Linked DNA regions of Callithrix jacchus. The protein of the gene in region 2 interacts with the protein of the main gene of each other region in a biochemical or structural test. Links are inferred from orthologs where the notes say so. Each region holds a gene or a part of one and is shown on either strand. Other genes may lie near its edges.

Evidence for each region.
Region 1: the proteins of CREBBP (region 2) and ATF1 form a complex in vitro, tested with the Homo sapiens proteins (2 studies listed by BioGRID). The link is inferred for Callithrix jacchus from reciprocal best matches to the Homo sapiens genes CREBBP and ATF1.
Region 3: the proteins of CREBBP (region 2) and GTF2B form a complex in vitro, tested with the Homo sapiens proteins (2 studies listed by BioGRID). The link is inferred for Callithrix jacchus from reciprocal best matches to the Homo sapiens genes CREBBP and GTF2B.
Region 4: the proteins of CREBBP (region 2) and ESR1 form a complex in vitro, tested with the Homo sapiens proteins (2 studies listed by BioGRID). The link is inferred for Callithrix jacchus from reciprocal best matches to the Homo sapiens genes CREBBP and ESR1.
Region 5: the proteins of CREBBP (region 2) and STAT2 form a complex in vitro, tested with the Homo sapiens proteins (2 studies listed by BioGRID). The link is inferred for Callithrix jacchus from reciprocal best matches to the Homo sapiens genes CREBBP and STAT2.
Region 6: the proteins of CREBBP (region 2) and PML form a complex in vitro, tested with the Homo sapiens proteins (2 studies listed by BioGRID). The link is inferred for Callithrix jacchus from reciprocal best matches to the Homo sapiens genes CREBBP and PML.
Region 7: the proteins of CREBBP (region 2) and CREB1 form a complex in vitro, tested with the Homo sapiens proteins (15 studies listed by BioGRID, with this or other methods). The link is inferred for Callithrix jacchus from reciprocal best matches to the Homo sapiens genes CREBBP and CREB1.

What each region holds. Positions count from the first base shown.
Region 1 is NC_133510.1:68,761,333-68,764,832, forward strand, and holds part of ATF1 (cyclic AMP-dependent transcription factor ATF-1), read right to left. Parts: intron 3,295-3,500; coding exon 3,164-3,294; intron 1-3,163.
Region 2 is NC_133513.1:5,892,137-5,895,636, reverse strand, and holds part of CREBBP (CREB-binding protein), read left to right. Parts: intron 1-1,681; coding exon 1,682-1,799; intron 1,800-2,304; coding exon 2,305-2,476; intron 2,477-3,431; coding exon 3,432-3,476; intron 3,477-3,500. UniProt on the Homo sapiens protein: Acetylates histones, giving a specific tag for transcriptional activation. Mediates acetylation of histone H3 at 'Lys-18' and 'Lys-27' (H3K18ac and H3K27ac, respectively).
Region 3 is NC_133508.1:126,085,752-126,089,251, reverse strand, and holds part of GTF2B (transcription initiation factor IIB), read left to right. Parts: coding exon 1-77; intron 78-205; coding exon 206-335; intron 336-1,854; coding exon 1,855-2,136; intron 2,137-3,500. UniProt on the Homo sapiens protein: General transcription factor that plays a role in transcription initiation by RNA polymerase II (Pol II). Involved in the pre-initiation complex (PIC) formation and Pol II recruitment at promoter DNA.
Region 4 is NC_133505.1:158,537,463-158,541,475, reverse strand, and holds the start of ESR1 (estrogen receptor), read right to left. Parts: upstream 2,801-4,013; 5' UTR 2,668-2,800; intron 1-2,667.
Region 5 is NC_133510.1:63,281,051-63,284,980, reverse strand, and holds the start of STAT2 (signal transducer and activator of transcription 2), read right to left. Parts: upstream 2,801-3,930; 5' UTR 2,773-2,800; exon of another isoform or gene 2,566-2,772; intron 1-2,565. UniProt on the Homo sapiens protein: Signal transducer and activator of transcription that mediates signaling by type I interferons (IFN-alpha and IFN-beta).
Region 6 is NC_133509.1:20,936,633-20,940,132, reverse strand, and holds part of PML (protein PML), read right to left. Parts: intron 2,678-3,500; coding exon 2,534-2,677; intron 2,095-2,533; coding exon 1,836-2,094; coding exon of another isoform or gene 1,828-1,835; intron 747-1,827; coding exon 694-746; intron 75-693; coding exon of another isoform or gene 1-74.
Region 7 is NC_133507.1:129,038,895-129,042,394, reverse strand, and holds part of CREB1 (cyclic AMP-responsive element-binding protein 1), read right to left. Parts: intron 2,860-3,500; coding exon 2,677-2,859; intron 1,500-2,676; exon of another isoform or gene 1,477-1,499; coding exon of another isoform or gene 1,437-1,476; exon of another isoform or gene 907-1,436; intron 627-906; coding exon 476-626; intron 1-475.

The DNA.
Region 1 (3,500 bases), on a different chromosome or scaffold from region 2:
TTTCAATGATAACATGTGAATGTCCCCCCTACCTCTGATCTCTGCTTCCAAGTTTCTTTCCTTGCAACCAGTGCTTAGCTTCCTGCCTTCCTTCCTTTCCTTTCTCTCTTTCTTTCTTCCCTCCCTCCCTCCCTCCCTCCCTCTCTCTTTCTTCTTTTCCTGAGACTGGTCTTGCTCTGTTGCCCAGGCTGGAGTGCAGTGGTATAATCACGGCTCACAGTAACTTCGAATTCCTGGACTCAAGAGATCCCACCTCAGCCTCCTGAGTGTATGGGATTAGTCACATGCCACAATGCCCAGCTAATTCTTCATTTATTTTATTTACTGTTTTGTAGAGACACAGTCTTGCTATGTTACCAAGGCTGGTCCTGAACCTGGCTTCAAGTAATTTTCCAGCCTCAGCCTCTCAACGTACTGAGATTATAGGCGTGAGCCAGCATGCCTGGCTCCCAGTTTCTCAAGAATATATATATTCATTCTTTAATTCATTTATTCATAACAAACGTAACTGAAAGCCTACTACTTGCCGGGTCCTATATGTCGAAGATGTAGTTGTGAATGAAACAAATAAGGTTCTTTCCCTTAAGGACCTTATATTCTAGTGGGGAAAACAGATAATAAATAAGCTAATCTATAATTACATACATACAATCTGTAATTAAACTAATATATACTGTCTTTTAATTATATGTAAATTTATAAAGAAAAATGCAGGTTGTTAATGAAAACTAAAGGGAGGAGACACATGTTTGAAAAAGAGTGATCGCTTTGTGGAGGTGACACTTAAGCAGAGCAGGGGCATAGGATGCAAGCCATGTAGGGATCTGGGAGAACATGCCAGGCGTGAGCAGTGACAACTCCAGAGATTCTGAGGCAGAAACAAGCTTCGTGTGTCTGAGGTACAGTATAGGAAGCTGGGTGGTCAGAATGCCATCAAGTGGCAGGAGATGAGGTCAGAGCGGTAGGCAGATCCTAAATGCAATGCCTTGTAAGACTGAGATTTTATTCTAAGTATGATAAGATGTCAATAGAGGATTCTGAGCAGGAGTGATGTGATCTAGTTGACATTTTAAATAAATCACTTTGGCCACAGTATGGAAAACTGATGATTAGAGCAAGAATGGAAGCAAGATGACCAACTGGATGCCTACTCCAGTAATTCAGATCAGAGTCTAAATCAAGGTGGTGGTGGTTAGAGATGGCCAGAGGTGGTCAGATGGGACATACACATTGTGGCAAGACTGAATGAGACGAAGATTAATGTTAGGAGTGGAGGGAGTAATAACAAATGGGCAGCACTAGTAAATTCCTTAGGGTGATAGAATTACATCTCGATTGATGGTGTGAAACTATTCTATACATTTGTCAAAACTCATAGACTTAAACTCCCCAAAGAGTGAATTTTACTGTATATAAATCAAACAATAAAGATTTTTAATGAATGGACAGGGGCCAGGCGTGGTGCTTCACACCTGTAATCCCAGCACTTTGGGAGGCTAAGGCAGGTGAATCACTTTAGGTCAGGAGTTTGAGACTAGCCTGGCCAACATGGTGAAACACTGTCTCTACTAAAAGTACAAAAATTAGCTGGGTGTTGTGGCACACACCTGTAATCCCAGCTACTCTGGAGGCTGAGGCAGGACAATGACTTAAACCTGGGAGGTAAAGGTTGCAGTGAGCCAAGACTGTGCCACTGCATTCCAGTCTTGGTGAGGAGACTCCATCTTAAAAAAAACCCAAGACAATGAACAAAACAGATCTAAATGTATATTATATTAAATACCACTTTCATCCTATTTCTGTATCAGTGAGCTAAAGATACAAAAGCCAAAAAAATTTTTGAAAAAAGATATGTATGTGTGTGTAATTTGTTCAACTTTGTTGTGTAATTGAAATTTTTCATTAAAAAAAGATTGGAAGCAAAACTAGAAATTAAACTTAAAAATAAACAATTTATTACCTCGTTAATTTTGCCAAATGTCATTTTAATAAACCAGTAGACCTCATTCACTAAATTACTGGGGAAACGACCTACGTGTTAACCTAAGTACAAATTACTAATCCATAGACTGCTGTTGATCATCAGTGAGGATATATATATTTGTTTGTGTAGGTATTTCTGTTCTATCACTCTGTCTCCTGACTCTAAGCTTTCCTCTCAAAGGCTAGGACCACATTTGCTTCCTTTATAACTTTACCTAGCCCCCAGGTGGGATGCTGTAAACCAAAAGGTGCTCACTTTGTTCTGTGTACTGACTAATATTCATAGCAACACTTTTAGAGATGCAGATTTAGTGTTCTATTAAAGTTGATCAGTTCCTTATTGTTTATGGTGGGAACTCTGTAAATCACACTGCAAAACAATCTCTATCCTCTTTCTGATCCAAATTTCCTTAACCTCACACTGGAAAGTCAACATTTATATTTAATCTTTCATACAGTAATTTCTGCTGGAATTAAGGTAATAGACATAACTGGCTGGCATCCAAAAGAAAAATTTGTAAGATGCAGTATAGTTTGAGGTCAAATTATATGTGTAGACTCAGACAAATCTAATTTTGAATCCCAGCTCCATCATATACAAGCTATGTGACTTCAAGAACAGTATCCAGGCCGGGCATGGTGGCGCCTGTAATCCCAGCACTTTGGGAGGCCGCAGCAAGAGGATCACCTGAGGTCAGAAGTTCTAAACCAGCCTGGCCAACATGGTAAAACCCCATCTCTATTAAAAATACAAAAATTAGCCAAGTGCAATGGCAGGAACCTGTAATCACAGCTACTTGGGAGGCTGAAGCAGGAGAATCGCTTCTGAAAGGCGGAGGTTGCAGTGAGCCAAGAGACAGTGCCACTGCACTCCAGCCTGGGTGACAGAGCGAGACTCTGTCTCCAAAATAAAAAGACAAAAAAACAAATCCAGTATCTAATGCTGTGGGTCTCAGTTCCCTCATACATTAATAACTGCCTATGTAACTGCCTATGTCACAAAGTTGTTGTAGGAATAAATGAAATAATGCTGAAAAAGTACTTCTCATTATTCCTGGCTGAAAATGTCCTTTAATCAATCATCACTATTGAAGTATGGCAATTTTTCTAACACCACTTCTTTCTACAGAGAAGTCAGGTTTTGTACGTTTATAATGTGGAAATTGATTCCTGTACATACTGTACTGTCCGCTGCTAGTCTGATAGATGGGAGCTGGAACAGACATAGAAGTGACAGCAGAAACTCCAGGATTTTCTCCGTCTCCTTTTCTGCCCCGTGTATCTTCAGAAGATAAGTCTTTCAAAATTTTTCTGTAAAAAAACAAACACTGGTAATGTGAATGACTTTACAAAAAGACACTTCTCCCAAGTAGCTGGGACCACAAGTGTGAGCCACCACATCCAGCTAATTTTTGTATTTTTAATAGAGAGAGTGTTTCACCATGTTGGCCAGGTCTTGAACTTACGTGGCCTCAAGTAATCTACTCATCTCGTCCTCCCAAAGGAAATGAAATCCC
Region 2 (3,500 bases):
AACAGCTCTCTACGACCTCTGCCTCCCAGATTTAAGTAATTCTCCTGCCTCAGCCTCCCAAGTAGCTGGGATTACAGGCATGCACCACCACCCCCAGCTAGTTTTTGTATTTTTAGTAGAGATAGGGGTTCATCATGTTGATCAGGCTGGTCTCAAACTCCTGACCTCAAGTCATGTGTCCGCCTCAGCATCCCAAAGTGCTGGTATTACAGCCGTGAGCCTCTGAGCCCTGCCTGTTTGTTTGTTTGTTTGTTTGTTTGTTTGTTTGTTTGTTTGAAGAGAAAGAGATGGAGTCTTGCCATGTTGCTCAGGGTGCTCTCAAACTCTTGGCCTCAAGTAATCCTCTCACCTTGGCCTCCCAAAGTGCTGGGTGGTATGAAGTGTGGTGATACCAGGCCTAACTTTCTTGAGCTAATTATTTTAAATGAACCAGATTTACATTCCCTTTGAGTTTTTTCCCTTCCTTATTTTGATCGAATTTTTTTTTTAGTAATAGGTAGTTTAGAAATCAGAGCTTTGAAATCGTATTATTCTGGAAATGACCCAGCACATACTTGCTAATAGCAAAATGTTGATAGGTTTGATGTGTAGATAGTTGATAGGTCTGGATTGTCTCCAGGGAGTTACTTCTTTCATGTATTGATATGCTAGGCAAGAGAGGCTTGGCGTTTTTCTCCACATTGTATTGCCACCAGAGATAGATAATTCTGATTTTGTAGTGCTCATCTGATGGCACTGGAAGTAGCTTCAGGCCAGGTGCAGTGGCCCCCACCTGTAATCCCAGTGCTTTGGGAGCCCAGGGTCAGAGGATTGCTGGAGCCCAGGTTCAGGCCAGCCGGGGCAACACAGTAAAACTCTGTCTCTACAGAAAACTTAAAAATTAGCTGGGCATGGTGGTGTGCACCTGTACCTCCCAGCTTACTTGGGAGGCTGAGGTGGAAGGATCACTTGAGCCCAGGAGTTCAAAGCTTCAGTAAACTATGATCATGCCACTGTACTCCAACCTGGGCAACAGAGTGAGACCCCATGTCTTTAAGCTGGCCTGTCTTCCCGTTATTCAGGGCTGGAGTGCAATGGCGTGATCTCAGCTCACTATAACTTCTGCCTCTTGGGTTCAGGTGATTCTCCTGCCTCAGCCTCCCAAGTAGCTGGGATTAAAGTCACCCGCCACCATGCCCAGCTAATTTTTGTATTTTTAGTACAGACAAGATTTCACCACGTTGCCAGGCTGGTCTCAAACTCCTGACCTCAGTTGATTTGCCTGCCTTGACCTCCCAAAGTGCTGGGATTACAAGCATAAGCCATCGTGCCCGGCTGAGACCCCTTTTTTAAAAAAAAAAAGAAGAAAGAAAATAATTTGATAGTGGTTCACACCTATAATCCTAGCACTTTTGGGAGGCGGAGGCAGGCGGATTGCCTTGCTTAGGAGTTCAGGGCCACACTGGACAACACGACAAAACCCTGTCTCTACTAAAATACAAAAGAAATTAGCTGGGTGTGATGGTGCACACCTGTAGTCCCAGCTAGTTGGGAGGTTGAGGCAGGAGAATTGCTTAAACCCAGAAGGCTTAAGTTGCAGTGAGCTGAGATCGTGTCACTACACTCCAGCCTACGTGACAGAGCAAGACTTATCTCTAGGGGAAAAAAAGGAAGTAGTTTGATAGATGTGTTATCCTTTCAGAGTCCAAGCCATCTTCCCAACACCAGATCCCGCAGCTCTAAAGGATCGCCGCATGGAAAACCTGGTAGCCTATGCTAAGAAAGTGGAAGGGGACATGTACGAGTCTGCCAACAGCAGGGTAGGTAGCTGCTCACCGTGCTCTCGCCTCTACTGCATCTGTACTAGACAGCACTACATTTGTCTGGTTGTTATCTGGAAACAGTGGAATCTGTGTAGTTGGGAGAGACATGAGGCCACGGGCCAAGGAGACCTCCCAGATAAGACACAAATTTCCTGCACAACTCTCTTGGTTAGCTACATTGGTACATGGAGTATATAAATTTACATTATGTCCATGGGATATATTTTTCATATTAGGTGGTGATGTATTATTGCTAGCATCAGTGAATATTCAAGAAGTTGATTTGAGTGAAATGGAACATGTATTTAGTACCTACTATTTGACATGTCCTGTAAAATCATTGGGAATTGAGCAGGAGCGTGGGCTTCTGGTGCATCAGGTATTTGCATACTTTTGCCAGTGTACTCAGTGAAGAAGTTCATTAGTTAGAACCTACAACACAGATCATTCTGTTGCTTTTTACAGTTTTAACGGCTTCATATTGAATATGATTGCTTTTTAGGATGAATATTATCACTTACTAGCAGAGAAAATCTACAAGATACAAAAAGAACTAGAAGAAAAACGGAGGTCGCGTCTACATAAACAAGGCATCTTGGGGAACCAGCCAGCCCTACCAGCCCCAGGGGCTCAGCCCCCTGTGATTCCACAGGCACAACCTGTGAGACCCCCAAGTAAGCATTCCATTTCCTTCTGCCAATCCTTAGCCTGTTTCCTTGGTTTTCCTTCATGTTTGGGGTGTATTTCTAAGAATAGAGGATTAGTCTTTGACATGTGACCTATAGAAGCTGTTGATGTGGCAGTGGCCCTGACCACCTGCCTCAGGCCATGTTGGGACTCTGAGTTTGTCTCTTGGGAAGGCCCTTTAAAGGGTGCACCAGCATTGGAACACAAGTGTTTTTGGACTTGTTGGCTGTTTTTAAGTCTGAAGTCCTAATAAGAAATTTTCTGTTTATTCCCAGCTGGGCACAGTGGCCTATAATCCCAGCACTTTGGGAGGCCGAGGTGGGTGGTTCACGAGGTCAGGCGTTCAAGACGAGCCTGGCCAATACGATGAAACCCCATCTCTACTAAAAAATACAAAAATTCGCCGGGTGCGGTGGCTCATGCCGGTAATCCCAGCACTTTGGGAGGCCGAGGCGGGTGGATCACGAAGTCAAGAGATCGAGACCATCCTGGTCAACATGGTGAAACCCCGTCTCTACTAAAAATATAAAAAAATTAGCTGGGCATGGTGGCGTGTGCCTGTAATCCCAGCTACTCAGGAGGCTGAGGCAGGAGAATTGCCTGAACCCAGGAGGCGGAGGTTGTGGTGAGCCGAGATCGCACCGTTGCACTCCAGCCTGGATAACAAGAGTGAAAACTCTGTTTCAAAAAAAGAAAAAATACAAAAATTCTTGGGGCCTGGTGGTGCATGCCTATAGTCCCAGCTACTCAGGAGGCTGAGGCAGAAGAATCACTTGAACGTGGGAAGCAGAGGTTGCTGTGATCTGAGATCATAGCATTGCATTCCAGCCTAGGCAACAGAGCAAGACTCCATCTCAAAGAAAAATTTCCTATTCCTATTCCTGAATCAAGGATTATATTAAATAACTAGGGTGTTTTGTTTTTGTTTTTTTGCCACCATAGATGGACCCCTACCCCTTCCAGTGAATCGCATGCAAGTTTCTCAAGGTATTAACTATTTGCTGTGAATCA
Region 3 (3,500 bases), on a different chromosome or scaffold from region 2:
CTGATCGGGCAATGATGAATGCATTCAAAGAAATCACTACCATGGCAGACAGAATCAATTTACCTCGAAATATAGTTGTAAGTTCTTGTCTACCTCCTCTAAGCCATTCTGGCATTGACTTGGCATAATTTAACGAACACATGAAATTTTGATATTGCAACTAATTAAATAGCATAGAGTTAAACTTAGTTTCTCTGCTTTGAAGGATCGAACGAATAATTTATTCAAGCAAGTGTATGAACAGAAGAGCCTGAAGGGAAGAGCTAACGATGCTATAGCTTCCGCTTGTCTCTATATTGCCTGTAGACAAGAAGGGGTTCCTAGGACATTTAAAGGTAAGTTTTTAGCTTTTTTTCTTTTTTTTGAGATGGAATCTTGCTCTGTCACCCAGGCTGGAGTGTAGTGGTGCAATCTTGGCTCACTGCAACCTCCGCCTCCCAGGTTTAAGCAATTCTCCTGCTTCAGCCTCCTGGGTAGCTGGGATAACAGGCACGTGCCATCACGCCCAGCTAATTTTTGTAGAGACAGGGTTTTGCCATGTTGGCCATACTGGTCTCGAACTCCTGACACCAGGTGATCTTCCCGCCTTAGCCTCCCAAAGTGCTGGAATTAACAGGTGTGGTAGTGTCTGTCTTTACTCTCAGCTACTTGGGAGGCTGAGGCAGAAGATTTGCTTGAACCCGGGAGGCGGAGGTTGCAGTGAGCTGAGATCATGCCACAGCACTGCAGCCTGGATGACAGAGCAACAATCTGTCTCAGGAAAAGAAAAAAAAAAGAAAAAGAAAATGTCAGTGAAGTTTTTTCTCTTGAGATATATTGTTTGCACTTTTACACTTCAGTTGGAGGCTTAGAAAAAACTGGTATTTTTCATCTAGTTTGCAGTTACATGTGAATACGTGACCAGTAGTTCACAATGTTGCACACTGACTTTCACTACCAAAGCTCAAGTTTAGCTGAAGACTATACTACCCTTCATTCATCCAGTCAGTATTTTTTACGTTTTCTTATGTAAAAGTGAAGAGGTGATGGCCTTGATCATTTTTTTTGTTGTTGTTATAAGTACAACAGGGCTTTTGTTAAATTTCTTCAGAAAGTGTATGGTGGTTGCATCTGGGAATAACACGGTCAGGTATTTTTTCTCATCGAGACATAGCTCATAATCGCAGGGATTTCATGTACACATGACATTGTGTTGCCTAAGAGACACTCTTTAGCTTCTTTCATCTTGATAACACACTGCTTACAACAGATTAATATGTAAATATCAAAGAATTTTTCTTTAAAGAAATTTACTTGCATGAATTAATCTTTAGAGAAGTTAGTATTTTGAAAGATTAAGACCTAAATTTAAAGAGTGAAGAACATTAGGCTGGGCGCAGTGGCTCACACCTGTAATCCCTGCACTGTGGGAGGCCGAGGCAGGTGGATCACCTGAGGTTCAGGAGTTCAAGGCAAGCCTGGCCAAAATGGTGAAACCTCATCTCTACTAAAAATACAAAAATCAGCCAGGCGAGGTAGTGCATGCCTGTAGTCCCAGCTACTCAGGAGGCTGAGGCAGAAGAATCACTTGCGCCCGGGAGGTGGAGGTTGCAGTGAGCCGGGATCATGCCACTGCCCTCCAGCCTGGGCGACAGACTGTCTCAAAAACAAAGTGTGGTGAACATTAAAGTTAACTGAGAAATTTGCAGTTACCTCTGTGGGAAGTATCACTGAGAGGATTAGGGTTTCATCTTTAAGGCATGGTTGAATGTTTTGCAATTAGAATGGATATTATGTTTATAATAAGAAATGGTAGATTTTAAAATGAACTATATGGCTTAAATAATTGACATATTTAAACTTTTTTTCTTTTAGAAATATGTGCTGTATCACGAATTTCTAAGAAAGAAATTGGTCGGTGTTTTAAACTTATTTTGAAAGCACTAGAAACCAGTGTGGATTTGATTACAACTGGGGACTTTATGTCCAGGTTCTGTTCCAATCTTTGTCTTCCTAAACAAGTGCAGATGGCAGCTACACATATAGCCCGTAAAGCTGTGGAATTGGACTTGGTTCCCGGGAGGAGCCCCATCTCTGTGGCAGCAGCAGCTATTTACATGGCCTCACAGGCATCAGCTGAAAAGAGGACCCAGAAAGGTAGGGTTTGTCACCAGGAAGTTGGCAGTAAACTGGGAATCTTGCAGCATGTGATTGTTTTTCCATTTTAAGTGTGAAGCAGGTAAATATCAGTGACCCACGTATGGCCGGGTGTGGCAGCTCATACCTGTATTCCCAGCACTTTGGGAGGCCACGGTGGGTGGATCACCTGAGGTCAGGAGTTCGAGACCAGCCTGACCAACATGGTGAAACCCCATCTCTACTAAACTTACAAAATGAGCCTGTAGGCCCAGCTACTTGGGAAGCTGAGGCAGGAGAATTGCTTGAACTTGGGAGGCAGAGGTTTCAGTGAGCCGAGATGGTGCCATTGCACTCCAGCCTGAGTGACAGCAAGACTCTGTATCAAAAAACCAAACAAACAAAAAAGACCCACATATAAGATATCATTCCTCAGCCTCAAAACATTAAGAAAATATGTTTTGGGCCGGGCGCGGTGGCTCACGCCTATAATCCCAGCACTTTGGGAGGCCGAGGCAGGTGGATCACAAGGTCAAGAGATCGAGACCATCCTGGTCAACATGGTGAAACCCCATCTCTACTAAAAATACAAAAAATTAGCTGGACATGGTGGCGCGCACCTGTAGAACCAGCTATTCAGGAGGCTGAGGCAGGAGAATTGCTTGAACCCAGGAGGTGGAGGTTGCAGTGAGCCGAGATCACGCCTTTGCACTCCAGCCTGGAAAACAAGCAAAATTCTGTCTCAAAAAAAAAAAAATATGTTTTGCTTTTAAGTAGCTCATAAATAAAATGTTCAGAGAGAGAAACCTATAAAAAAAAAAAAAACTTGGGTGTGGTGGCTCACACCTGTAATTCCAGCACTTTGGGAGGTGGAGGCGGGTGGATCACGAGGTCAAGAGATCGAGACCATCCTGGTCAACATGGTGAAACCCTGTCTCTACTAAAAATACAAAAAATTAGCTGGGCATGGTGGCGCATGCCTGTAATCCCAGCTACTCGGGAGGCTGAGGCAGGAGAATTGCCTGAACCCAGGAGCCAAGATCGCGCCATTGCACTCCAGCCTGGGTAACAAGAGCAAAACTCCATCTCAAAAAAAAAAACTTTAGTTTGTGTATCTTTTATTTTTACAAGTTCTTTTTTTGTCCCCTAAATGTCTTCCTCCTGATCATTTTGAATACTCATTTCCTCCCCAAACTTACCTTTTTAAATCTTAGGGGTCAGGGAGGCATGCGTTGTTTCTCACTGCTTGGCATGGGATCCTACAGATAGACACACTGTAAAATATGTGTTGGCTATCAACCTTTAACATTCTGTGAATGGTGTTTTTTTTTTCATCTTGTACAGTATTTTACAGTTTCCTAATACAAATTCTGAAATAAGTAGAT
Region 4 (4,013 bases), on a different chromosome or scaffold from region 2:
ATGATCAGATGTTCATAAACTCCTAGCAGCTTTGGTGCTGATCTTGAATTATTTCATTTATTCAACCAACATGTATTGAATAACAGGCACTGTGATAGGCTTAGAGTAGAAATAACTTCCTCATATTGAGTTTCTAATGTTTAGAGACTGCAAGGAGTTTAATGAGTGGTTTAATCTCATTTACTCCATATAATTCTCTCTGGTAGCTACTGTTAGTACTCCAACTTTGCAGATGAGAAATTTAATGATGGAGGTGACATAATCTGCCTCTAATTGCACAGCTAGAGAGTGGTGGGAGCTATGACTGGGTACTCAGTCATTTTTCCATGGATTTGAATTGAACCACTTAATAGAATTCTCACCGAAGAGTGATGTGCTGTGGAAAACCTGAGCAGAGGTATCAGCTTTCTAGCAGAATATTTTAAGGGGCAGGTGAGTAGGGTAAGCCCCTTCATTCTCTGAAACAATCACAGACTTTCAGTGAGAAAAATGTTATATGCCTTAGATAGAACCATAAAACTCACTGATGTGCATGTTTTTGCTGTTGTGTCCAGTGGGAATGATTCAGAGGAAGTCTAATGAGATGTTGCCCAGAAGGCAGGCACACATCATCAGTCTTACCTGTACAGTGCCTGCCTTTGAAAAGAGCACTTTATTTGATAATATGCAGGAGGCTTCACAGATAGCACCTCTTTCTCAGAGATCAACAATGGAGACTCTATCCTGATAGAGGCAGATGGACAGGACCATGTCGCCACTGCCATAGATGAATCCTATGCTATGAGTTTATTTTGTTTATTTTATTTTGTTTATTTTATTTTTTACCAGCAGTGTGGATGGTCTACTGAGAGCTGGGTCACTCTTTTCCTTGCCCTTTTTTCCAAATAGCCAATCTGGAGTCATGAAGCAGAGCTGTTCCCTATTCAAAGCAAAGTAAACTCAACCACCAGGCCCTCAACTCAAGCAACTGTTCTGACCAACTAGGATAAATGAGTGCAGCTAGACTAAGAGAAGACCTGCAGACAACCATGTGAACTTGTTTGGCAGACACCTGATGTACATCGTTATGCTGTGTGGAGGTTTAGAGTGAGTGTTTGAAGGGAAGGTGGGTGGTAGCTAGCTCTAAACCCAATACTGAACAAAGACAAGAGTTCTCAGAAACAAAAGATAGTTTGACTTTTCTTGCTGCAAGTTTAAGACCCAAACATTGTATTCCTTTCCTTGACTGTCATGAGCAATAAAACAAAACAAATATCTCCAAGTGTCCAAGAAAAATCTTCTGCTTGTAAATACGACCCTTGTGTTCTTAATGAAAATTCTGCTGTTTTCCTACATCATGCCTTTTACCTACATTGTTTTTATTTCTAATTTCCTTGAAAATCTAACATTCTAGATTATTTTATCCAACCGCTACGGCATTATCTGCATGCATTTCACAGCCCAGTCGGCGGTCTTCACAGGACATTAACAAAATCAAAGAAAACATTTGCTTTTAAGAACTAGGAGGGGATTTTATGGTATCGAAATGAACCCTGAACCGTGGACCTCAAACATTCTCACCCAATTTAAATTCTCTGTACATTTCAGAATTCAGTTCAAACACTTCTGCCTGGTCTTCCTAAGTTTACTCTCAACATTAAAATATGTATATACCACATTCAAAACTGGATGAGTTTCCCAGCAGCCTCATATACATAGAGTTGCTCTGTAAGCCTATTAGATCTGACACATAAAGGCGTTAAAAATCTGGCACCTTTAAGCAGGAACCATTGCCATGATCACAAGTCCTGATAAAGCCCAACCCTTCTATCAAGTAAATTGCTTTAAAATGTTTTAATCACGTCGGCTCCTATGGACTTGAGAGAATACTGGTTATCTTCTTGACAAAGCATGAAACTTACAGTTCAACGAGCATTTCCTAAGACATGTGGCATGCCTCTGACCAAAATGAAAGTATTCTGCCCTGTCTTGTGACTGCCACATCATTACCCGAGTAGCCCACTGCTATATGTGGTGAAGTCATTATGCGTGTGCCTTTGAGAGGCAAAAAGGAACCGAGAAAATGGGACACCAGGACTCAAAAGAACTTGCTTAAAATCAGAGGCCAATTTCAAGACAGAATCGTTCATTCTTGTGCTGCTGGACGTGTAGCTTTTCAGAAAACTTGACTGCCTTTAGGAAACAAATAATGGATCATTCACATCTTTTAGTTCAAACTCATATAAGTTATGGCTCCAAAGATTAAGAAAACAGGTAATGTGTTCCTGCTAGTCTGAGATTTCTCTAATTAAGAACTTTTAAAATTCTAACACAGCTCAACAACACGGTGTCTCCTAGCTAGTGCTGGATCCGATAGATATATGTTATCTGGAGCAGACAGGCAGCCTGTGTGTGCTGTACTAAGAACAGGGTAGTCGGATTGCCCTCTGCCTCAGCTAAATATTATTCTAGAAGTGAATTTCCACTGTACCAAGTTTAGATTTCACATTTTATCATCCTAGGAATACTTGCCAGTAAGTTTGCAAAATATCCTTGGAGCAGAAAGAGGAAAAAAATGAACATTTTTTAAAGATGAGACGTAAGCTCTGAAGTTACAATATGCTTGTAAACAGTAGCACATTATATCAAAAAGGAAAAAATAAATTGAGAAGAAATAGGAGTACCTACTTGAAGAGAAGATTATCACTCAGAGACTGTCTTCTTATGCTATAGAATGGGCAGGAGAAAGGAGCATGGACCTTTCGAGCCTGTTAAAGAGCTTCTGAGCATGGAGCCTGCATTTTCAGTTTTGGTAAAATCCGTTCTGACTCGGTAGACAGGAGGCTGTTATGACCATGAAATTAGGAAATGCAGTAACTCAAAAATAAAGAACTAGCACCACCATTTGACTAGGATTGGAAAATCTCATTGAAAACATAGAGGAGGGGGTGGCCTTGCTTTCTCCAAGCCCGGCTTGAATCTAACTTTCTTAGCACTTCCACTAAAATGGATGTTCAAAAAGAGGTAAATCATGTGTTAATCTGCCTGAAATTTTTTTACGCCCTCCAGCCGATTTTTCTCTTTATTCCTAATAAAGCTCAAAGTCTAGACAGGCGTGTGGGGCTGGAAAAAAAAATAAAACATTCATTCAGCACATAAATTTTGTTAATCCAAAGTTAGCTAGAGCTAAACTAAAAGCAGGGGTAAGGAAATGTCTTCTGTTAGTGTTATTTGGGAATTTCTTACTCAGGCATGGACTCAAAAGCCGGCTCTGCACTTCCTGTTACTGATTAATTAGGTTCTTGACTTCGGTAACCTGCACAGGTCTAGCTCCTTACGCTCTTTGGTCCTTAATTTCTGTCGCATGATCCTTCCATAAACTGTCCGGTATTTCCTGCAGCAATTTTTAAATTTATGTGGTTATTGATTGTTTGTTTAACACTAAGATACACATTTTAAAGTAGAAAAAGGGCTGTAAAATCATATTAAAATTTTTTAATAACATTGAAATTTTAATATCTCATCATGTCTGCTGTGGTTTATGCAGTATGTACTTTCAATGATTTTTTAAAAATATTTTCGCTTTTTCTTCTTTACAAGTCTTGAAAAAGGCTGGTTTTCTGGAAGTGAGAATGATAGAGGGGGCAGAGGAGGAATCTCTCTCTTGCTATTGTATTGCTCTCTGTCCCAGTACCCAGTACAGAGTGACGTCTGCCAAGTAAGCTACACCTCAAAACTGTCATGGGAAGGAAGGAAAACCAAAAGAAATAATCAATGCTTTAAAACATTTTGAAATAAATGATCTTAACTGTCTTCAATCTTCTCTATACTTGTCAGTTAGCCCATAAAATAATTTGAATATGTTAATTTGCCTGAGAGAAGCTTCTCCAGAATACAGAGAGCAGGACACATTTTAGTTAGTATGTAAAGTATTTAATTTCAAGTGACTGAACATAAAATCTCAACAAGATTCACTTACACAAGGAATAATCACGTATACTAACGCATTGCAGGGGTTCTGTAAGCATTTTTAT
Region 5 (3,930 bases), on a different chromosome or scaffold from region 2:
ATACCACAAGGATCACCATTCAACTTTAACATTGCTATTTCCACTATCTTATTTCATCTATCTGCCTAATTAATTTATTTTACATTTATGTGTTTATTTGTTGTTTATATTTGCTTATGCTAAAGCATTTAAAGATCAGTGTTGATATTAAGTATTTTTTACAGCATGATCTCTGCTGGCCCTGAAGCTTTTTTGTTTTTTTTCTGAGACGGAGTCTTGCTTTGTCACCCAGGCTGGAGTGCAGTGTCATGATCTCGGCTCGCTGCAAACTCCGCCTCCTGGGTTCAAGCAATTCTTCTGCTGGGCTTATAGGTGGCTTACAGTAAGTAGCTGGGCTTACAGGCGGCTGCCACCATGCCCCCCTAACTTTTGTATTTTTGGTAGAGATGGGGTTTCACCATGTTGTCCAGGCTGGTCTTGAACTTCTGACCTCAGGTGATCTGCCTACCTCGGCCTCCCAACGTGCTGGGATTACAGGTATGAGCTACCACACGCAGCCACTTGAAGCTTTTTTAGGAGCTAAATCTTTTTGGAGGTCAGGTAAGTATACCCTATAAACCACCTTCTATACAGGAAGGAGGAGTTCCATTCTAGAAAACATCTAAATGCTGTGCAATGGATTGCTCAATCCCTAAGAATATGACACTTTTAGGCTGGGCGTGGTGGCTCATGTCTATCATCCCAGCACTTTGGGAGGCTGAGGCGGGTGGATCATGAGGTCAAGGGATCGAGACCATCCTGGTCAACAAGGTGAAACCCCGTCTCTACTAAAAATGCAAAAATTAGCTGGGTGTGGTGGCGTTCGCCTGTAGTCCCAGCTACTTGGGAGGCTGAGGCAGGAGAATTGCTTGAACCCAGGAGGTGGACGTTGCGGTGAGCCAAGATTGCACCATTGCACTCCAGCCTGGGTAACAAAAGCAAAACTCCATCTCAAAAAAAAAAAAGAATATGACACTTTTATGACCTATGAATCTTGAATATGATTATGGGTTATCAACTTTGTGAGATCCTGATACTTTATGTAAATTTGTTTTTTTAGGCCAGGTGCCGTGGCTCACGCCTGTAATCCCAGCACTTTGAGAGGCCTAGGTGGGAGGATCACTTGAGGTCGGAAGTTCAAGACCAGTCTGGCCAACATGCCAACATGGTGAAACCCCATCTCTACTAAAAATACAAAAAAATTAGCAAGGCCTGGTGGTCGGCGCCTAATCCCAGCTACTCAAGAGGCTGAGGCAGGAGAATTGCTTGAACCCAGGAGACAGAGGTTGCAGTTAGTGGAGTTCATGCACGGTACTCCAGCCTGGGCAACAGAGCAAGACTTTGTCTCAGAAAAAAAAAAAAAAATGTTTTTTTTTTTCTTGCTTGTCACAAAGACAGGTTTGCCTGTCACCAAGCAGGCTGTGCCATGCATCTTTCTCCCCATCTTTCCCTGTTCGTTGACATCTGGTGTCTATTTAGGAAACTGAAACTTATACTTGTTGCAATCTGAGCCTAACAGAACAGAATTTATGCATGTTTGTGGTCTAAAAAGGTCACGTGATTTTATTACAAAGTAAAGAGAAATGCTTGGGGTAGGACAGTACTCTAACATAAATAACATCAGCTGCCTTTCTACCTCTGGAAGTAGAAACAAGGGAAAGGAGGGATTGTGCAGGGGCTATTTTCATTTTAAACCTTTTAGTAGTGCTTGATTTTTAAAACTATGTAACTGTATTGCTGTTATGATACAAAAAAATATAAGTTAAAAAAATGATTAGGTGGCCATGCGTGGTGGCTCATGCCTGTAATCCCAGCACTCTGGGAGGCCTACAAGACAGGAGGATAGCTTGAGCTTAGGAGTTTGAAATCAGCCTAGGCAACATAGTGAGCTTCCATCTCTTAAAAAAAATTTTTTTTTTAATGATGAGGTCTCAATTCTTGAGGATTTAAGTGTTTAGTATGAAACGCACAAGGAAGCAAAGATTCAAATATTAAAACAAAACAAAACAAAAAACCTAGTCTCCCCAAATGGATTGCAAACACTGAGGTTAAGGGCTGAGACAGTTTTTTCTCGTTATCTCTCACTCTCAGGCACATATTTTACACTCAAGAAGCTTTTCTGAAATGAACTGAATTTTGTGTGTGACCTTAGGTAATCGTTTTATCTTTCAGGAGCTTATACTTTTTTACGAAACAAATAAAGATGATAGATTCATCTATCTGTTTTTTTGTTTTGTTTTTGTGTTTCAGGTTAATCTATCTTTGGACATCGTTTATTTTGGTGAAGACAAAACATAATGCGGAGCAGAGGCAAAAACTTTGGTTCAGCTACCGAATCAACATAAGGCCAGATTCCGGGTCTCGGAAGCTTCAGGGGACTTTGGGGAGAGGGCCATTAGGGTTGGGGAGATAAGCTCGGCAGGAGAAGTTCAAAGACCGAGCCGGCGACAGCTCCTATTTCAACCTGGGGACAGAGGCTGCCCCCTCCAGGGCGTACGTAACCCCTGAGGCCAGTCGCCCTTCCCTGGGAGGAATTCTCACTCTCACCCCCACCCCTACCCCAGCACACACTCTCAGGGCCCGTACCTGATTAGGGGTGGCAGTCCCCGCGCCCTCCAGTGGCTCTGGTCGCGACTTCCCGTGCCTAGAGGGATCTCGGGTACTAGAGCCTCCCGCCCCGCCTACAAGTTCGGCCAACCCCCTCGGATCCGTCCCCTTGTAAGGTGGCCCTGAAGTCCGGAGCTGCCCCTTTCCCAGCCACCACCCCGACACTGCCATCAGTCAAGTCCTTACCAGACTGCTAGCTCATTGGCGCCGCCGCAATTCCGCCCCATCCGTGGGGCGGGACAAGCTGAGCCGAAACCACACCTCCAGTTCCAGCGATTGGTGGAGAAGCTCAAATAGGCGCTGCCTACGAGGGGAGGAGTCCAATTAGTGGACTAGCCCAAGACTGAAACAGCTGATTTTCGAGAACCCGCGCGTGGGCCAAGGAACCGAAACTAGCTTGAGGACTCTGGAGACGCCAAGGGCCCCATGGGAAGGGGTGGGACCGGAATTTCGACGTCTTGGGATAGGAAGAGGAGGGCTGAGGTAATGAAAACAATATTTTAAAAATAGTCTTTTATTTTTTGAGATATGGTCTCGCTCTGTCACCAGGGCTGGAGTGCAGTGGCAAGATCTTGGCTCACTGCAGCCTCGACCTTCCGGGCTCAGGTGATTCTCCCGGCTCAGCATCCCAGGTAGCTGGGACTACAAGCGTGCATCACTCCGCCAGGAAAATTTTTTATATTTATTGTAGAGATGTGGTTTCGCCATGTTGCCCAGGCTGGTTCTGAACTGCTGGGCTCAAATGATCCTCCCGCCTCGGTCTCTCAGTGCTGGAATTACAGACGTGAGCCACTGCACCTGGCTAATAGCTATTTATTGAGAGTACTGTGATAAGCCCCCCCTTTTTTTTTTTTTTTGAGACGGACTTTCGCTCTTGTTACCCAGGCTGGAGTGCAATGGCAGGATCTCGGCTCACCGCAACCTCCACCTCCTGGGTTCAAGCAATTCTCCTGCCTCAGTCTCCCGAGTAGCTGGGACTACAGGTGAGCACCTCCATGCCCAGCTAATTTTTGTATTTTTAGTAGAGACGGGGTTTCACCTTGTTGACCAGGATGGTCTCGATCTCTTGACCTCGTGATCCACCCGCCTCGGCCTCCCAAAGTGCTGGGATTATAGGCTGAGCCACCGCGCCCGGCCCAGCACTTTTGATTCATCGTATCATTTTAAATTTACACTGCAACTCATTGAAGTTAAAATTATTCTCTCTCATTTAGAAATTTAAAAACTGATCTTAGTTCAAGAAAGAAGTTACTAGTCAGTGATTACCAGGCACCATCAGTGGAGCCTTGATTCAAAACCAAACCCTCTGACTTCAAGCCCCAAACATTTACGTTTCTACCTTTC
Region 6 (3,500 bases), on a different chromosome or scaffold from region 2:
ACTGTGGCTCAGCGGTCTCCGTGGGCTCCATGCACTTTCCAATACAGAACCTCAGACTGAGGGCTGGAAGAGACCTCAGGGGCCACCCAGTCCATCCTTTCACTCTATTCAGATCCCCTTTTCCCCTGGACGGGTGATAGCCCAGCTCCTAGTAATAATCCTCCAGGGACAGAAGGGTCACTACCCACGAGGCCACTTGTTTCAGTGTGGAATGGATTTACAGTTCTTTCTTACATGGATAGAGTCAAACCTCATTTTCTTGGCCTCTATACAGCTCCCCCGTGGCCTCACACCCCTTCACTGGCCCCCACTGGCTGCAATTAACTAGGAAATGCATTCTTGTCCAGCCCTCCTCACTGAGGACTCAGAGGACAGAAAATGCATAAGGGAGCTCCAGAAAAAGGCCCTGGACATTCCGGAAAAGAGACGGGGTTCTGGATGCACACTATCAGCGTTTCAGAGGAGTACATATGGCTACTGAAGGCCCCTGCCCCGGTGTGGTGGGAGGGCTGGGGTGGTCCAGGCATGCGGCTGGCATTTGGAGACTGTTATCAGCACAGCTTGGGACTCACTGCCTCACTGGAAAATTGCCCAGGCGTAGGCAGATCTGAGAGTCACCTGCTGTGGCTATGCCCCTTGGGACCTGAAATGGGGGTAGGCAGGAGTCCTGGGCTGAACTTCTGGGCCACTCACCGAGTTTTCGGCATCTGAGTCTTCCGAGCTGCTGATCACCACAATGCGCTCCTCTGAAATGGGGAAGGGGAGCTGAATTACTTACTGCCTAGGACGCATAATGGGAGGGGTGTGGGTATGCACCTATGGGAATCCTTGCAGGCCAGTGCACTGAGGGCAACGGATACCCTGCAGGGCGACGGGAACACCCACTGTGTGTGCCAGTCTGAATCTGCTTTGCATTTGGATGTAATTCACAAATGGGTTTCCATCATTTCTTGCTGTACCTTATCTATGAATATTCAATTAAGTTATTTGCCCAGCAATCAGAATTTGCTCCCAGCACAGGAGGCCTGCACCACCTGGTTTGGAACCTTCTGCAATCCTAAAGCAGCACAGCGGTTTGGCCCAATTCTCAGCTCCATCAGCTGGGATGTCTAGAGTTAAAAGATGCCTCATTTAGTTAATCAAAACCCATTGATGACCAATAGCATTGGTGGGTAAGGAATATCAGTCAATGCTCAGTGTGTGACCAGGGCTGGGGCTGAGTCTGGGACCTAGAATGAAGAACAAAGCTGTAGTCTGGGTGAAGAGATCCAGGAAGAACTCTTGCTCCAGATTTCTCTGAGTTGGACCTCAACTCCTGTCCAGCTGACTCCCTGCCTGGCGGTGTCCACAGAGGATAACTCAGACAAATGAGACACTTGGTAGGTGGCCTTTGCAGCAACACCTGGGGAAATGATGGGTGTGGACTGGGAGGGCACAGTTAAGGTCACGGGGAGTCCAGTTTCCTGTGATGGTGTGCCCAAGCCCTCTGGGAGCGCACGAGGCATCTGCCAGCAAACATTTCTTGTGGAGACCTGTCCTGTGCAGAGGCATGGTGCTGGGCACTGTAAGATTAGTGTTTTGGGGAAAGGACTCACAGAACTGTGCATTTTAGCCTGACAGGCTCCCCACACCTTAATCACAGCAAAGCACGTGGTAACCTGTATCCACCCTCACCCCCATGCACACTGTGAACTTTCCCTGCCTTATTCAGTGGGAATAAGGGACTCCTGTTGGCTTTGGGCTTTCTGGATGGGGCCAAAATACAGAAGAGGGGGCCCACCCAGACCCTGGCAGACAGCACACAGGTCAGGTCACTCCCCTACCCACCTCCCTACCTGCCTCCCCGGCGCCACTGGCCACATGGTTGCTGTTGGGCAGGATGACCTCACTTCCTATGTCGGGGCTCTCGGCGCTGGGCAGCCCATCCAGGTGGGGTGGTGAGACTGCCTTAGAGGTGCTAGGCCTAGGCTGCTCGGGGGAGCTCCGAGCCAACCTCGCCTCCTTCCCCTCCTCAGATTCCATCTTGATGACCTTCCTGGGGCACTGGGTCTGAATGCTCTTCCTCTTCTGGCCTGTGGTTGTATTGGAGACCTCCTGCACAGAGGGAGTCACAAAGCCAGGTCAGCTGCCTCAAGGGGTGAGTGGGCACAGCCTGCCCTGGGTGCCAGGGCCTTGTGGCTACCCTTTTGCTCCTGTTGTCCCCTCTCCTCTGCTCTCAGCCATGCAGATGTCTCTCTTCAGACAGGAAGCCTTCCCAAGCTGGCACCATCTGCTGTCTACCAGTCTCTGCTGGCCTTTGACAGCCCTGAGTGTCTCAGCACCCCTGCTGTGCTGGGAGTGGTTCATGCTTATGGGGAGCTCCCAGATCAGGCAGCCGAGAACAGGGGACAGCATAGAGAAGGCGCTGAGCAAACACTTCCCCACAAACAGCTGATCTGATGAAGGCCTGGCTTCCCGCCCCTCGGCACCACTTCACTTTCCTGGTGGAATCCAGGCCTTCAGGAGGGGAGGCCAGGGCTGGGGAGAACCTTACCTCTCTGTAGGAAGGGCCTTTGATGGAGAAGGCGTACACTGGCACGGGGTGTGCCCCGGGGACTGACTGTACCACAGCCACAGGCTGGGCTTCAGCCAGCCCCAGGGCCTGGGCCTGGGCCTTCACTCTCTCTGCCTCCTCGGGCTGCAAAGTTGGGAAAATTGGGTCAGAAATGACTAGGCAGCAGCCCCAAGGCCAGGTACCCCAGACCTGTGGTTGGCCCAATACCTGTGGCTTACCCACTCACAGGTTCAGGCTCCCTGACTCAAAGCTCCGAGCTCACTGGGGACAAGAAGTCCTCCAAACTCTCTATCACATCACCTCCTTCTTTAAAGAGAAAAAAACTGTAGAGACAGGGTCTCACTATGTTGCACAGGCTGGTCTTGCACTCCTGAGCTTGAGCAATTCTCCAGTCTCGGCCTCCCAAAGTGCTGGGATTACCCGCATGAGCCACCACACCTGGCATCACCTCCTTCCAACTCTGAGTTACTGGCGCCCAGGGACTGCTTTGGTTCTTGAGTGTTGTAACAGGGCTTGAAGGTACCCCAGGAATCGCACTGCCCAACGCAGGACATGCTCAGTAACTAGCCCAGCTTACACACACACCTCCAGGGACACACCTCACTACTGGTGAAAGCAGCTCCTGTAACAGTGAGAAAATCCTCCCGCTGAGCTGAAACTGGCCTCCCTCGGACCTTACCTCTGCCTCTCAGCCTTAACTCTACCTGGGTCAGCTACTACACAAGTTGGATGAATTGCTTAAAACTTTTTGGGCCTCTGTCCTGCTCTGTAAAATGGGAATAATAACATCTATCTCATATGGTAATGTGGATGAAATGTGTTAATACAAGTAAAATATGAAATACCTGGCACTTCGAAATGCCATTGATAATGATACATTGATAATGCCAGGCACGTGCTGAGTGCTTTGTGTACCTATCTCCAAATGAAATAGAGGCAGTTCCTT
Region 7 (3,500 bases), on a different chromosome or scaffold from region 2:
GAATTTTTAGATATTAAAATGTTATTATTTTGAGCAAAGATAATATTCATTAAAACATGATCTGGCCACCATACATTTACTTTATATCAAGTAAATTTAATACAGATAAAACTTAACACACAGTTAATACATATATATGAAACTCTTGATCTTCTTGAACAATACTACATATGAAATAAAACCATTTTAAAGTAACCCGGCTAGCTGGCTGGAGTGCAAACATAGGAAAGTTGTGCATTACATCTGCTGTGGGGAAACTGCATGAAAGAAAACTATTCCATAATCAAAGATTGACCCATAATCCTATAGCCATATAAGTGCAGCTTATTAAATAGAGAAAATTTAGCAAGATCCATTACTTCTGCCAGGAAAAAAAAATGCAAAGATCCTATTACCAGTAGATGTAAAGACACATCCAGCAGAATGTGAAGACATACTTGACCCACAACAGTCTAAGTCAATGCAGTCTATGTACCTGTTCTTCATTAGACGGACCTCTCTCTTTCGTGCTGCTTCTTCAGCAGGCTGTGTAGGAAGTGCTGGGGAGGATGCCATAACAACTCCAGGAGCAATAGTGCTAGTGGGTGCTGTGCGAATCTGGTATGTTTGTACGTCTCCAGAGGCAGCTGAAAAAAATAGTGAGCATGGTGTAAGACAGAAACATTGCAACTTGATTCAATTATATATATCAATCATCAATCTAAGCATGTATTTTGGACTAAAAGGGAAACAAAAAAGAAAAGATGATTCTGGCTAAAGTATTGAAAGAATCAGCACTCTTTGCACCCTTACTAAGAAATAATTCCCAATGTAATGTATTTATTACAGTAACCTATATCTGCTGGATCTTATACTGTATTTTTCATTTGAATGCAGTTCTATTCTGTCATTAACATGCTTACCAACCTTAAGTCTAAAAGGTAAGTGGGACACAGCTTGGATGATCTTCCTAGATAGAGTATAGTCCTCAATGTCTTCCTCTGATATTGGTAAATTCATATTAAAAAATTTCAAGTAGACTCTTGCCACGACATAAAAACCACCATGATTTTTCATAAAATAGCAAAATGAAAAAGAAAATAAAGCATTATGGTCAACTATTATAAATTTCTAATTAAAACAAAACTGAAAGTATGAGAAAGTGTATCACTTGATACCAATTATATTATTTGAAAACATATTGTTTTAATGTAAATGATAATGGCTAAATAAACTGAAGTTTTATTTTTCTAACTGATGCACCATTTGTAAAAACAAACAGAATCACTATTTGTCAAACTGCTTCTAAAGACAGCATAATAATATGTTCTCCTAAGAATAAGCAACCTGTTACTTAAAAGAATTTGAAGGTCTTCATAAAATTAATCATATTAATTATTAATATCAATTAAAATGTATGGTCTGAGTGGAAAAGATTTATATACTAAACATGTTACCATCTTCAAACTGACGTTCAGAATTCAAATTCACTGACATCCTGCTTTACAATTTTTGAGTACCTGCATGTAAAGTGAAAAGGTGTTTTACTCTCATCAATAAGCAAAATGTTATCTTTTTCAAATACTTGTTTAATAACAGAATATATTCTGTAAACATCAGGGTTCTTTAAATAAGTTATGACTCTCTCCAGATGGTGTTTCAGGATTATTCAATTATCCATGGTAAAAGAATACAACTATCATTACCTAACACAGGCTAAATGCATTATTATTTATAAAAATATTTTCAGAAACAAATTTATTTTCAGAAACAAATTTATTATTATTTCCTCAGTCAGCAAATTTCTAAGCTGGCATTAACTATGTTCTTCAAATATTCAAACAAATCAAAGAAAAATGGTTAACTGCTATCCATAAAGAGTCCTGAAATACACAGGAAAAAAAAAAAAGCAAAAACAAACAAACAGCCAAAAAAGCAACTTCTATAATTTGTCAAAAATTTAACGACTACTTTTTCTCTAAAGAGCAGCAAATTTGCATATTGGTATAAGTTCTTGTTGAATATACTGCTTTCATATGAAATAAAAACTGGGTCAAGTGGAGAGGCATCTCACCACTTTGGGAGGCCAAGAAAGGAGGACTGCTTGAGGCCAGGATTTAAAGACTAACCTAGGCAACATGGCGAGACCCTGTCTCTAGGAAAATAATAATAATAATGATAATAAAAACTGATGATTTTAGCAAATAAGATTTAAATTTCTTTTGGATAAAAGGCAGAGAAACAGAATCCTGAACTTCCGAAGATTCTTTTCAGAGATTTAGTGCAACTCTTATTTGACACATGAAACAAACAAAATACTTTTCTGAGGCCCAGAGAAGCTGGGTTTTACTCAAGGTGTCATAGCAGATCCATGCAGTTAGTTATAGAATCCATCTTTCTTAACTCCCGATTTCCTGGTCTTTCCTTCTAACCTACCCTGTTTCTTCTACCCCAAATGATAAAGGTGTTAAATGCAGATGTAATATTTTTAAAACTGAAAATAGTTGTTTTTATGCCATGACATTTTGGTCCAATTGGAATAATGGAAGAGTTCATGGAAAAATACTATCTATATTGAAGAAATGTTAACTACATTTGAACAGTGCTTTGCAAAATGATACTTACTTTTTCTGTGAGTTTACAATATTTTTGTATTTTGAAGAATTTACCACACCTGTGAATTCTGAATTCCCTTACCTTGAACAACAACTTGGTTGCTGGGCACTAAGATCTGCTGTCCATCAGTTGTCTGTGCATACTGTAGAATGGTAGTACCCGGCTGAGTGGCAGCTGCATTGGTCATGGTTAACGTTTGCAGGCCCTGTACCCCATCGGTACCATTGTTAGCCAGCTGTATTGCTCCTCCCTGGGTAATGGCAACTAAAATCCAATGGATTTTATAGTTACAAGTTTAAAAATACCATATAAAACTTTTAACATACTAAATCCAATGTAGAATAATTTGTAAAATAATCTAGGAGAAATTATAGCAAATAACATCACCAAGAAAGGTGTGATATATTCAAGTAACCTGCTTCTCAGGAAACTCATATTCAATTTCTGTAATAGAAATGCACTCTATGAACTGCATTATAATTTATAATAACAGCTGTTAATATTTTTAAAAACAGGTAAGTAGGAAAATGTTAAATTCCTTCTGAAGTTATTTGGTTCTGACAAGTGTTAATACATTGAGCATTAACTATACAATGTATTAATACTTGTCCCATTAGTAAATAATTCCTCGAGAGTAGGATTTTTCTTATCTACTTTCATGCACTTAGCACAGTGGCAGGCATGAAACCCAATAAATGGTTGTTTTAACATATAATTAATAAAGCAGTTCATCAGTGCATCCTACTCCCTAACTGTTGTAGAAATTCATTAACAATATCGAATCCACTAAATGAAACAACTGAAATATCCTATGGAACTTAATTATTAGCAGTCTCTTATGAAACTTTAAAATCAGCTCAAGATCATCATTTAGAAAAAAGTTTTACTGTCATTTCCAATTTAAT